Arabidopsis thaliana: one gene and its partners. The protein of the gene in region 1 interacts with the protein of each later gene in a pairwise test. Each region holds a gene or a part of one and is shown on either strand. Other genes may lie near its edges. The genes, in order: STO, BBX29 and GATA7.

Region 1 (4,293 bases):
TCTGTGCTTTGTCTATTGAATGGTATGCATGTTATTTCAGATAATCTAGGGCTTAGGTTTGTAGAAAATCTCAGAATCGTGTATGCTGAATTTTGATGTCATTACTCAGAATTTGAGTCAATTTACTAACTTTATTCTAGTTTCCGGTGTAGCTATGACTTGAACCGGAGTTACCAGCTCCTAGTTTTTGTTTCTTTGAGCAATTTTTGTTTCACTCTTTTCTTTTAAAAAGTTCTTGTGGCATAGTATGAATCCTATGGGAAATTAGATGAGGAATAGATAGAGCCTCAGACATACATGGTTCTGTTTTCTGATCACATGTTTTGGTCTTCTTGATGGCATATTCTTGTTTGCTATATTCACTAAGTAGAATCCATGAGATTGTTTTCCACACTCAGTTTTACTCAAGGATTTAAGCTCTGTGTTGCAGGTTTTCGCAAGATATGGCTGGCTCTGTTGGTGAGGAAACTGAGCCAGAATGGATTAAGAGAGTGAAATTAGAGGGAGCTGTTCCATGTCTTAAGCCAGACGACAACTGCAAAAATGGTTGGACGACGCCATCTCCTGACACATTTATGGTTAGAGGACCAAAGTATTTCTCTGACAAAGTTAAGATACCTGCTGGTGATTTCCTTCTAAAGCCTCTGGGTTTTGATTGGATTAAAGGTCCTAAAAAGCTTTCTGAGATCCTGAGTTATCCAAGCAGCCGAATCAGGAAAGTTATCGATGAGGAGTTTCAAAAAGATGGAACTAAGCCTTTTGTCTGGGCATTCAATCTCCAGCTTCCTCACAAAGACAATTACAGTGCTGTGGCTTACTTTGTTACCACAGAGCCTATCCTTGAAGGCTCCCTGATGGATCGGTTTTTGAAAGGAGATGATGGGTTCAAGAAATCGAGGCTTAAACTGATTGCAAACATTGTCAAAGGCCCTTGGATTGTTAGAAAAGCTGTTGGAGAGCAAGCGATCTGTGTGATTGGACGTGCACTCTCTTGCAAATATGTTTCAGGGGAAAACTTTGTGGAGATTGATGTCGATATTGGTTCTTCAATGGTCGCTAGTGCCATTGTTCATCTCGCATTTGGCTACGTTACTACATTGACAGTTGATCTTGCGTTCCTCATTGAGAGTCAGACCGAAGCAGAGCTTCCAGAAAAGCTACTAGGAGCTGTGAGATTCTCTGAGCTGCAGACCGAGTCAGCCACATCTATCGAACTGTCCTCAAGCACCAGTAATGACCAGTGGGATCAAACTACCTCAGAGCGGTCGAGCTGGTGGAAATCGATTGGAAATGGATTCTCTAATCTGCTTAATCAAGATACGGCCAACATGAACAATACTTCTCATGGGGACATCCAGAAGGATGAACATGTACAGAAGCAGTAAGTGTTTTGGGAGTTATTAACTTCACAATTCTTTGAATTTGTTCGATTTCATTACCAAAAAACAGAAACAAAAACTTGTCAATTCTTTAAAAAAACCACAGATGTATAGATTGGTTTTTACTAATATGGATGGATATGTGATATCCAACAACAATTCTTGTGACCAACCATGCCTAATTTTGTATTGGTGTCTTTTAGGATCATTCTTTTTCTCGAACGGGCTAAGCATTCATTTCTTTGTTAGTTAACATGCCAGTATATTTTTAATGATTGCATTAATCGTTTTTATGATTGAGAAAACGAAAAAGTGAAAGAAGAAGAAAAATCTGATCGAATGGTACATATTAACATAACATGTCGTCATTCCAAGGAATCAATTCACATGTCATTTTCAAGATTACGTGTAGTCGTGTAATATTCTCTGATTTGAGTAATACCATTACCCAACTCTTTCTTTCTAGATGAAGCCCATTTTTGTATACAAATCTTTCTTGAAATCGTAAAAGTTCACGAGACTTGAAATTCGAGCATATCATATAAAAGGAGCGTAAAAGTCTAGTGGTGGTGGAATTATTGAAGTTAGTTTATTAGTCAAAATTAATGTGTTTTGACTAGATTAGTAAACAAAACACAAATCTCTACTACGTGAGAAAATAACAAGAATATAAAATAGCAAAGTGTGAATATAATAAAAATATCTAAAGGTAGGAGAGATGACGAGAGGAAGAAGGAGAGCCACAGAAAAAGAGTGGGACCCGCAAGACCTTGCTGTAAGAAGCAGAGTGTTTCCTTTTGATACGCAGAATAATGAAAACAAAGCAACAAGCAAGATTCATCAAATCCTTATCTTCTCTCTTTCACTCACAACCAATTGCTCATCCCACCTACTTGTTCCCCACAAAACACTCTCTCCCTCTTTGTTCTTTCATCTTCTCTAAGCTCTTTCTCTGAACCTACGCTTCTGCTAAGCTATTCTAAGAGAAGCCAGACTAGCAATAAACCCTTCATTTTAAGCATTCTGTTTCCTTCTTGAGAAACCTAGATATTTTGGTTTCTTGTATCCGGTGATGAAGATACAGTGTGATGTGTGTGAGAAAGCTCCGGCGACGGTGATTTGTTGCGCCGACGAAGCTGCTCTCTGTCCTCAATGCGACATCGAGATTCACGCCGCTAACAAACTCGCTAGCAAGCACCAACGTCTTCATCTTAATTCCCTCTCCACCAAATTCCCTCGTTGCGATATCTGCCAAGTAAGTTTCTCTACAGATCTCATTAGATCTTGTCAAATATTTTATGGATTCGTTAGTTTGAATCTGCTCTGTTGCAAAGTTGTGATTTTATAGATCTTGTAGCAACTGTTGTATGTATGCCTTGTTGTTTAAGACTAGGGTTTGCTCATTATGTTCTTATGACTTGTAGGAGAAGGCAGCTTTCATTTTCTGTGTAGAGGATAGAGCTCTGCTTTGCAGGGACTGCGATGAATCCATCCACGTGGCTAATTCTCGATCTGCTAATCACCAGAGGTTCTTAGCCACTGGGATCAAAGTAGCTCTGACCTCAACTATATGTAGTAAAGAAATTGAGAAGAATCAACCTGAGCCTTCCAACAACCAACAGAAGGCTAATCAGATTCCTGCTAAATCCACAAGCCAGCAGCAACAACAACCTTCTTCTGCTACTCCACTTCCCTGGGCTGTTGACGATTTCTTTCACTTCTCTGATATTGAATCCACCGACAAGGTAGTGATGAGAATTGAGATTCAATGTTAGATCACTTTCTTTGCAAGAAGCTTTTATTGACTTCTTGGTTTAAATTGAGCAGAAAGGACAGCTTGATCTTGGGGCAGGGGAGTTGGATTGGTTTTCAGACATGGGATTCTTCGGTGATCAGATTAATGACAAGGCTCTTCCTGCAGCTGAAGTTCCTGAGCTTTCTGTTTCGCATTTAGGTCATGTTCATTCATACAAACCTATGAAGTCAAATGTTTCACACAAGAAGCCGAGGTTTGAGACCAGATATGATGATGATGATGAGGAACACTTCATTGTCCCTGATCTTGGCTAAAAAGCTATATGTAATCTATGTGTAGACATTCTTCAATGTAAAAGAACAAACAAGAAACCTATCTGCATGTGTGGAGTTAATGTCATATACATTTTAGTTTTGTCTTAAGTTGTGTAAGATATGTTGAGAGCTTATAACAAATGTCTGTGTTTGAGTTTTGTTCATACCTCTTGAACATGGTCTATGCTTAATGCTTTGATGCTACAAACTTGATACTAAATGTGTTCTCTCTGTTCTTTCTTGGTTTTTTTTTGTTTGTTCCTGATTATTACTCTGTTTTCAAAGCCTTGAGAAACAATCCTCAATGCAATTTACGGTTCCAAACAACTACGAAAAACTCTTTGTTTTCTATTAGCAAGAAAAGCTCAGAAGTCACAAGTCTGTTTTATTCAATACAATGAAGAAGAAAAAGAAAAGACAGAGAGAGAACCAAAAAAAAAAAACATTACAAATGATCAGAATCATCAGGAAGAATCCAGAACAGATTATTACAATAGACAAGGAGAATTCTGGACTCGAAGAGAAGTTTTACTATTCTACTTGTATCTTAAGAAAACTGAGAGCTTCACAATCTGTAGGAAGAGCTGGAATGGCTCCCTTTTTAGTCGTCGTGATTGCTCCACAAGCGTTTGCAAATCTCAGCACTTTTCTCAATCTCTCTTCCTCCTAAGAAACGAGAAAAATCAGTAAATATCATCAACAATATTCAGTTGATTGAATAGACACACAATATCAATGGGAGTTAACCTCGAGTACAGATTGATCATCAACAATCTGGTTTAGAAGCGCGCCAACAAAAGAATCACCAGCTCCAGTAGTATCCACAGCGTCAACATGGAAAGTT
Region 2 (3,498 bases), on another chromosome or scaffold:
ATTACTGTATACTGTATTTATCATATACGATCAAGAAACCAAAAACTTGGATCTTCTCATTTCTCACAAAACAAATAGATTCAAAATTAGAAATAAAACCAATTTATTTAGTTACATATAAATCATGAGAGCATCATTTTTTATTTTTTTGGAGCTTCGAACACGGTTTAGATACAAAAGACACGATGGGTTCAAAGCGTTTGACAAATAAATTTTTTTTAAAAAAACTTTAAAGGAGGACCCCATGGTACTAAATATCTTCTTTTTTCTAAGTCTTGACAACTTTTTTGTTTGATTCTTTTTAGTGGTCGTAGTTACAATTTACAAAGCTAACGGACATTCATACGTTATGTACTCTTCAGTTGTAACATCACAATGACACAGACACTTCTAGTTCTGGGAAGGCAAATAAAATTGACATCATAATAAATTTTGGTTTTGGCTGGTAATCCTTCTCACGTTATAAATTTATAATAATATCTCTTGTTTCACTAATTAATTTTCTTAATCATTTTCGTTAAAAAATAAATAAATAGAAAACAGCTTCATTTTCTTAATCATTTTCTGAACAACTTTGCTTCATTTTATTTTTTATGTTATATGATTTTATACTAGACATATGAACATATATATTCTAGGTAACACAGAAAAAAAAACACAAAAAAAAATCATTATATTGAAATGTTTTTAAACTAACTCAACTCACTAAAAGTATTGTTGTTAGTAAATGAACGATGAGGATTAATCTAATCAACCAAACAAAAGAATCATCAACGGCTACAATCTCTACTTTCCTTGGCGATTTCAATAAAACGAAGACGACGATGATGTATCACATCCCTCTGCTTTTCTCCTCCCTCCGTGTAATTTCACGATTGAGCTATTCATCACAACAGTTGATCTTGACAAACCTTCGTCTCTCGATAATCTTTTCAATGGTCTAGATTGGTTCTCCTCCTGCATTTCAAAAAGAATTGTTTCAGATTTCTTAATCATTTCCTAATAATAAAAGAAGATAAAGAAAAAGATTCATATTCATACATCGGAGAGGTTAAGATCCAAATCAAGTCTCGTCCTTTTCACCACCTGATCTCCTTCACCACTACTAACCGAAGACGACGAACTCACCACCGGAAGTTCTTGCTCCACCGCAGCCGGAACAACCTGATTCTCCACTTCTTCTTCTTCTTCATCCTCATCGCTTTCCTCATCATAAGACTCAGCTCCGTCGTTACAACCAATGATCTCTTCTTCTTGGTTAAGATTCTGATCCCTCCCGGCGAGGGAGCTGTTGTTATTCTTCTTACGAGCTAAACAAGACTCACAGATAGAAACAGTTGGGCCAAGATTCAGCCCAGAAGCTTTCCAAGGCGTGTGTGACTGACACGCGCTACATAGAAGACAACGCATGTGTTTCGCCACCAGAAAATTAGCTCCGTGAACTTTACCGTCACAATCCCAACATAAACTCGCTTGATCTGACTCACAATACATTCTCGCTACACCACAACATAACTCGCACTTCTTCTTCCCCATCTCTAGATATTATCTCGCACAACCACAACCACAAGCTCTCTCTCTATGTCTATCTCTGTCTCTAGATGTTTGTGTGTTATAAATATTCTTGGTAAGGTCTTTTGCTTCTCTCTCTTCTCTCGTTTCTTCTGCGGACACGAATAAGAGACAGCGTAATAGAGAATTGTAAAATGAGAATTTCGTGGCGACTTTTATGTGATTTAATTCTTTTCGAGGATATTGTCGTCTTTTTGATATTAACGAAACGATTTTTCACGTAATTTTTTAATGAAATGCAAAGAAGCTTCCTAATTTTAAATTAGAATAAGATTAAAGGATTCGTTCAAACTTTAATTTTTATGGTGGATAATTTGTGGATAATTTTGTATTAGTAGTTCTAAATCTGTGTTTGAAATTGATTAAGGTTTCCGCGGCTGAGTATTATTCTCGAATTCTTAAATTTAGGAGAGATGATAATAATAATAAAAATTAAAGGAAATGTTGTTATTTACTTGGTCCTGAAACCATGTACTGGGACAAGGCTCTCCTATGGGCGAAGTCTTACGTGTCGAGATATTATTCGTTTTATGTTTCATCAGATATTTTTATGCGGTTAGATTTTTAGTTAATGACGTGGCGAGATATTAGCCTCGTATAGAGGAGAGGGAAGATTCTGAGTTATCCTACGTGGACGAATCAGGTTCTGTAATAGACTTAGAACCACGTGATCCGCACCTGGGATTTGTCTGGTCCTCAATACACGTCTAATGGGTCCACTCTTTTTTCTTTCATTTTTTACTTTTTTCAGTATTCCTCTCTCGTTCCGGTCCAAGCGTTTTGTTTTCGAAAATGAAAAGTGAATTAAATATCATTTATATCGTTGGTATTACGGTAGGATAATAATGATGATCGGATTTTTAATATCGCATTTTGGGTTCGGAAATTTTGGTGTCCATGAATCAACATGGTTACTAGGAGAAGAACCTAATTTTATGATTTTATCAACCACTTTTAGCGTTCCATATTTTACATAATTCGAGTTAAATGTCTTTTTCTCTAAATAAAAATAAATAAATAAATCCAACCACTAATTTTACATTTTTACTTCACATCATTGGCAATTCGATATATTACTTGTTATTTGCTAATGGTAATTAAAAAGAATATAGAATATATATTTGAAAAATTATTAAACCTGGATTAAAAAAATGAAAGGTATTACGAATTTTTATCTAAAAAACAGGATAGATAGATAGCTAAGAAGCTTGTAGTTAGACAAATATTTTTTGTCATTTCAAATGTTTACAGTTGTGAGTTTTTAAAAGAAAATCACAACGATTTTTGTATGATAGAGTTTGATCTGTGGTTTTGATCCATAGAACAAACTAATTCATCTATGATCAAAGATGAATTAATTTGATTATTTGTATTCATTTGATCAAAGGAATTAATTTGTATCACGAAATCGAGATTAAGACTAGCAAAGATGGATTGAAAGTCATTTTAGGATAACAAATAATACGTAAAATATATATAAGAACAAAAAAAATGGTAAAGTTGGGCCTACGTAACATGCTTGAGAAATTTTTACGTGGCGAAGATTAGTGGTGTAAAGGGTGAAGTGTGAATTGTGAAGAATCAAAGGAACACGAGATGTCTTCATTTGAGAGCCACATGCATTAAAAAAGCGCTGATGAGTGGAGGTGTTTTGAGTTTTATGGTTTTTTGTTTTTTTACTTTTAAATGTTTGTGGATGACAACTTTAGAACAACTTAGAAGAAGCCTCGAATCAATACACATCTATCTTACGAATTACTCCTTATTTTTTGTTAGTTCTTTTCCATTTATGTTTTCTTTTGCAAGTTTCTTTAAAGATTTATTAAAAAGAGAAGTGGATTACAAATTTACAATAGAAATTGTTAAATTTGTTCAGTATGGGTGATCAACCCAATTATAATAATTTTAAATTTTTTTGTTGATAAA
Region 3 (3,755 bases), on another chromosome or scaffold:
TTCAGTAGGAAAAATAGTTGGGAAAATAGTCGAAATGACTAAAATCCGATATGGAATAACAATATCGTTTTTTGGGTCTAAGATATTGATATTTATGGAGCAATGCTATATTGGTTTCAAGTGTACATTTTTTTTTATCCGAGGGTTCAAGACTTAAAAGCTCAACCAAATTTCCGATATACAAAGAATGTGATATTTTTATGGCTATCACTTACATCGTTGCTACATTTAATTAATTTCTATTTTCTCTGAATGCAAATAACTTAAATCGAAGTTCATTTTAAATTATAAACGTAAATTTCATGAAGTAATTTTGTATTTACGCTTTTAAAAAAACTTGAATGGTTTTCATGTAAACTTAATCATCATATAAGTTACGTACAGTGTCAATGTTCATATCACATATATGACTATATGAAAGTATAGTTTACGAGATAAATACTGTGGGGAAAAAAGAAAAAAAAAGCTACACTACACAGATGAGAGATGGATGCATAGAGAACGAGATCATGAAAGTTTACTATCTTATGTTATCGAACGATAATGATTTCATGGGTATAAAATAGTCTAATTTGTACGGTTACTCCTCTGCCAACATACATCGCATTCAATAACATTCCACCTTTTACCGACTTGCATTGAGCCCATGTGGCCCATCGGGCTAATTAGGCATATAGTCAGTTTAGTGAGCCACCACCATATTGTATGTCATCAGTCTACGACTTTCTTGCGTTAATTTAATCCGAGGGGAAAAAAATTGATGTAGCAGTAGAGAATTTAAAGAGGGGTGTTCCGAGAATCGAACTCGGGACCTCTCGCACCCGAAGCGAGAATCATACCACTAGACCAAACACCCAATTGTTTGGAATGTAGTTCATTATATTTATAATAAAAATACAAGTCTATGTATTTTATTATTATTTACTATTTAGGTATGTGTGTAATTTGAATATGTTTATGCTCCATTGCTCCTGGTAAACTTTACGTGAATGTTTAGATGTTTTTTTTCTAACTTTGAAACCGACTTTTTCTAATGGAAATTATTATCTCAAAGAAAAAACAAATATATAACCATGAGCGATATTTTCACGCGCTCAACATATGATGGTCACTCTTTCCTTGAAATTAAAGAAGAAATAAATAATAGGCCCTTACTAATAACGTTTTTGTTTGTTTTGGTAAAATTGGGCCTTCCACCGACGGTCGAGTGGGCCCGAGAAGCCTGATAGTCCAATCATTACTCTCGACGTATGAATTATTGTTAATTTTTTTCTTCTTTTCTGTAAAACCTTCGAAATACTGATACAACAAAAAAAAAAAAAAATATATATATATATATATATATATATATGTGCTACTAGTTTCTTTTTTATGTTAACAAAAAAAAACCATATTTTGCAAGAAACTAGCTTTATATAGAGGGAAAGTTGTATTAACCGACGATATTTTTGGCCCAACAACACTTTCAACGGTCATGATTAATTAGGTTGAGCCATTAGATCGTTAGAATACCACTAGTTCTGAATGACTTTATTCAGTTATTTTGATAGTAAAAGAACTTAAAAAGACTTGCAAACTCTGCGCCGATGGTTAAGTCAAAAATGATAGTTCTAAATTATGAAGAAATCTTTGCTGTCTTTTAATATTATGAACTTAAAATTTGGCATTAAGAACTCTAATAAATTGAATTGACTACAAAGAGCGGTTATCTTTAAATAAAATTCTACGGATAAGTTCAGATAACATTTAAAAAAAAAAAAAAAAAACATTTTACTTACGAAGGAAACGTATTTTTGGTTTCCTTTTCAATGTGAAATGCTGACATGGCAATGCATGATTTGTTACGAGATTTGTAACGAGACAAATACCAAACAAGTCTTCCAAAATCACAAAAACCTAAAACCCACTCTTGCTTACAAACCCCAATCAGTGCTGTCCACTCTCCACTGTCTCTCTCACTCGATAGACACGTAAAGAATTTAAAATTTTGAAAAAGAAAGAATGAAATTTGTGTAAAATATATTGGAACACGAACAAACTTTTTCAAATATGGATTCGCTTCGCTCCTCCTTTATTTAAAATACTTGTAGTGCTTTCATACGGCTAGAGACAAAAATGGAGTGTGTAGAAGCATTTCTCGGTGATTTTTCCGTCGACGATCTTCTCGACCTCTCTAACGCCGACACTTCTTTAGAGTCGTCTTCGTCACAAAGAAAAGAAGACGAACAAGAACGTGAGAAATTTAAGAGCTTTTCTGACCAAAGTACCCGTCTTTCACCGCCAGAGGATCTCTTATCTTTTCCCGGCGACGCTCCGGTGAGCCCACTTACACACTCTGTTTCTATCTCCCCTGTTTTGTACACTCTGTTTCTCTCTACCCTGTTTTTGCTCTGTTTTGCTCTGTTTTTAATCTCATTTTTGTTTTGTTTGTGAAGGTTGGTGATTTGGAGGACTTAGAGTGGTTATCCAACTTCGTGGAGGATTCTTTCTCAGAATCGTATATTTCGAGTGATTTCCCGGTGAATCCAGTCGCGTCGGTGGAGGTTCGGAGACAGTGCGTTCCTGTTAAACCTAGAAGCAAACGCCGCCGCACCAACGGCCGTATCTGGTCTATGGAGTCTCCATCTCCTCTGCTATCCACCGCTGTTGCCAGAAGGAAGAAGAGAGGGAGACAGAAGGTGGATGCATCGTACGGTGGCGTAGTCCAGCAGCAGCAGCTGAGGCGGTGCTGCAGCCATTGTGGAGTCCAGAAGACGCCTCAATGGAGAATGGGTCCATTAGGTGCGAAGACACTGTGTAATGCTTGTGGGGTCCGGTTTAAGTCGGGTCGACTTTTACCCGAATATAGACCCGCTTGTAGCCCAACATTCACCAACGAGATTCACTCTAACTCTCACCGGAAAGTGTTGGAGCTACGGCTCATGAAAGTGGCGGATCCGGCTCGGGTTTAAGCCATTTTTTTCTATCTTGAAATTTTATCAATGCCATGTGCATTGTGTAATCTTGTAAACAGAGAATCAGAGAGAGATCCGTAGACTGTTTTCACATTCATGAAGTTAAGCTATAATTAGAGACAATTTTATTTGATAGAGTATGCATGATTAGAAATCATGATCATTAAAAGTTTTGTTAAATACAGTCCAACCGTTACCCAAATTTTTGTGACCACAACCATAATTAACTACTGTTACTTCCTCTTAGCTCACACTCTTTTCATTTAGAGTTTTTTTAAAAAACTGCTAATGCAAAAAAAAAAAAAGTTGTTAAAACGTTATTTTGAAATTTTGCCTTTATAACTGTTTTTTCAAAATATCGTCGTTGCCCCTTAAAGTTAAAGTAGAATTTTGTATATTTTTATTAAACCAGTATAGAAGTTGTTAACATTGAGACAAGATAAAAGATAAAATTTGACCAAAAATCAATTTAATTTTTCAATTACACAACCCTAAAAATTTACGACGTACGAGCCCCTCATTCACACTCTTATGTTAAAAAAACTGAAAATCAATCCATATCGATCTAATACTTGTGCGGCTACAAATACCAATGCATTGGTTATTTTCTAAATTATGTTATTGTATCATTGATAGTTGACACAGTGTTTATATATTTAAGAATACAAACTGGTATACTTTCTGTTTGCATACACAAATATTGGTGACTCCATTTTTTTTATTTTTTTTGTACATGTAAAATACTAAAGCAAACCCTCACATAAAGATTAGTAGTAACAATTTGGTTAAAATTATGATATC

What was found.
Region 2: the proteins of STO (region 1) and BBX29 interact in a two-hybrid assay, tested with the Arabidopsis thaliana proteins (one large-scale study listed by BioGRID).
Region 3: the proteins of STO (region 1) and GATA7 interact in a two-hybrid assay, tested with the Arabidopsis thaliana proteins (one large-scale study listed by BioGRID).

Annotation. Positions count from the first base shown.
Region 1 is NC_003070.9:1,827,818-1,832,110, reverse strand, and holds STO (B-box zinc finger family protein), read left to right. Parts: upstream 1-2,127; 5' UTR 2,128-2,245; coding exon of another isoform or gene 2,246-2,345; 5' UTR 2,346-2,422; coding exon of another isoform or gene 2,423-2,451; coding exon 2,452-2,634; intron 2,635-2,803; coding exon 2,804-3,124; coding exon of another isoform or gene 3,125-3,154; exon of another isoform or gene 3,155-3,206; coding exon 3,207-3,449; 3' UTR 3,450-3,771; downstream 3,772-4,293. Other genes in the region: AT1G06050 (ENHANCED DISEASE RESISTANCE-like protein (DUF1336)), read left to right, coding at 444-1,385; AT1G06045 (uncharacterized protein), read right to left, coding at 2,246-2,345, 2,423-2,589; AT1G06030 (pfkB-like carbohydrate kinase family protein), read right to left, coding at 3,981-4,115, 4,197-4,293. UniProt on the Arabidopsis thaliana protein: Acts as a negative regulator of seedling photomorphogenesis and light-regulated inhibition of hypocotyl elongation. BBX24/STO and BBX25/STH function as transcriptional corepressors of HY5 activity, leading to the down-regulation of BBX22 expression.
Region 2 is NC_003076.8:22,113,780-22,117,277, forward strand, and holds BBX29 (B-box type zinc finger family protein), read right to left. Parts: upstream 1,761-3,498; 5' UTR 1,537-1,760; coding exon 1,042-1,536; intron 958-1,041; coding exon 805-957; 3' UTR 525-804; downstream 1-524.
Region 3 is NC_003075.7:17,146,572-17,150,326, reverse strand, and holds GATA7 (GATA transcription factor 7), read left to right. Parts: upstream 1-1,830; 5' UTR 1,831-2,115; coding exon 2,116-2,316; intron 2,317-2,435; coding exon 2,436-2,951; 3' UTR 2,952-3,187; downstream 3,188-3,755. UniProt on the Arabidopsis thaliana protein: Transcriptional activator that specifically binds 5'-GATA-3' or 5'-GAT-3' motifs within gene promoters. May be involved in the regulation of some light-responsive genes.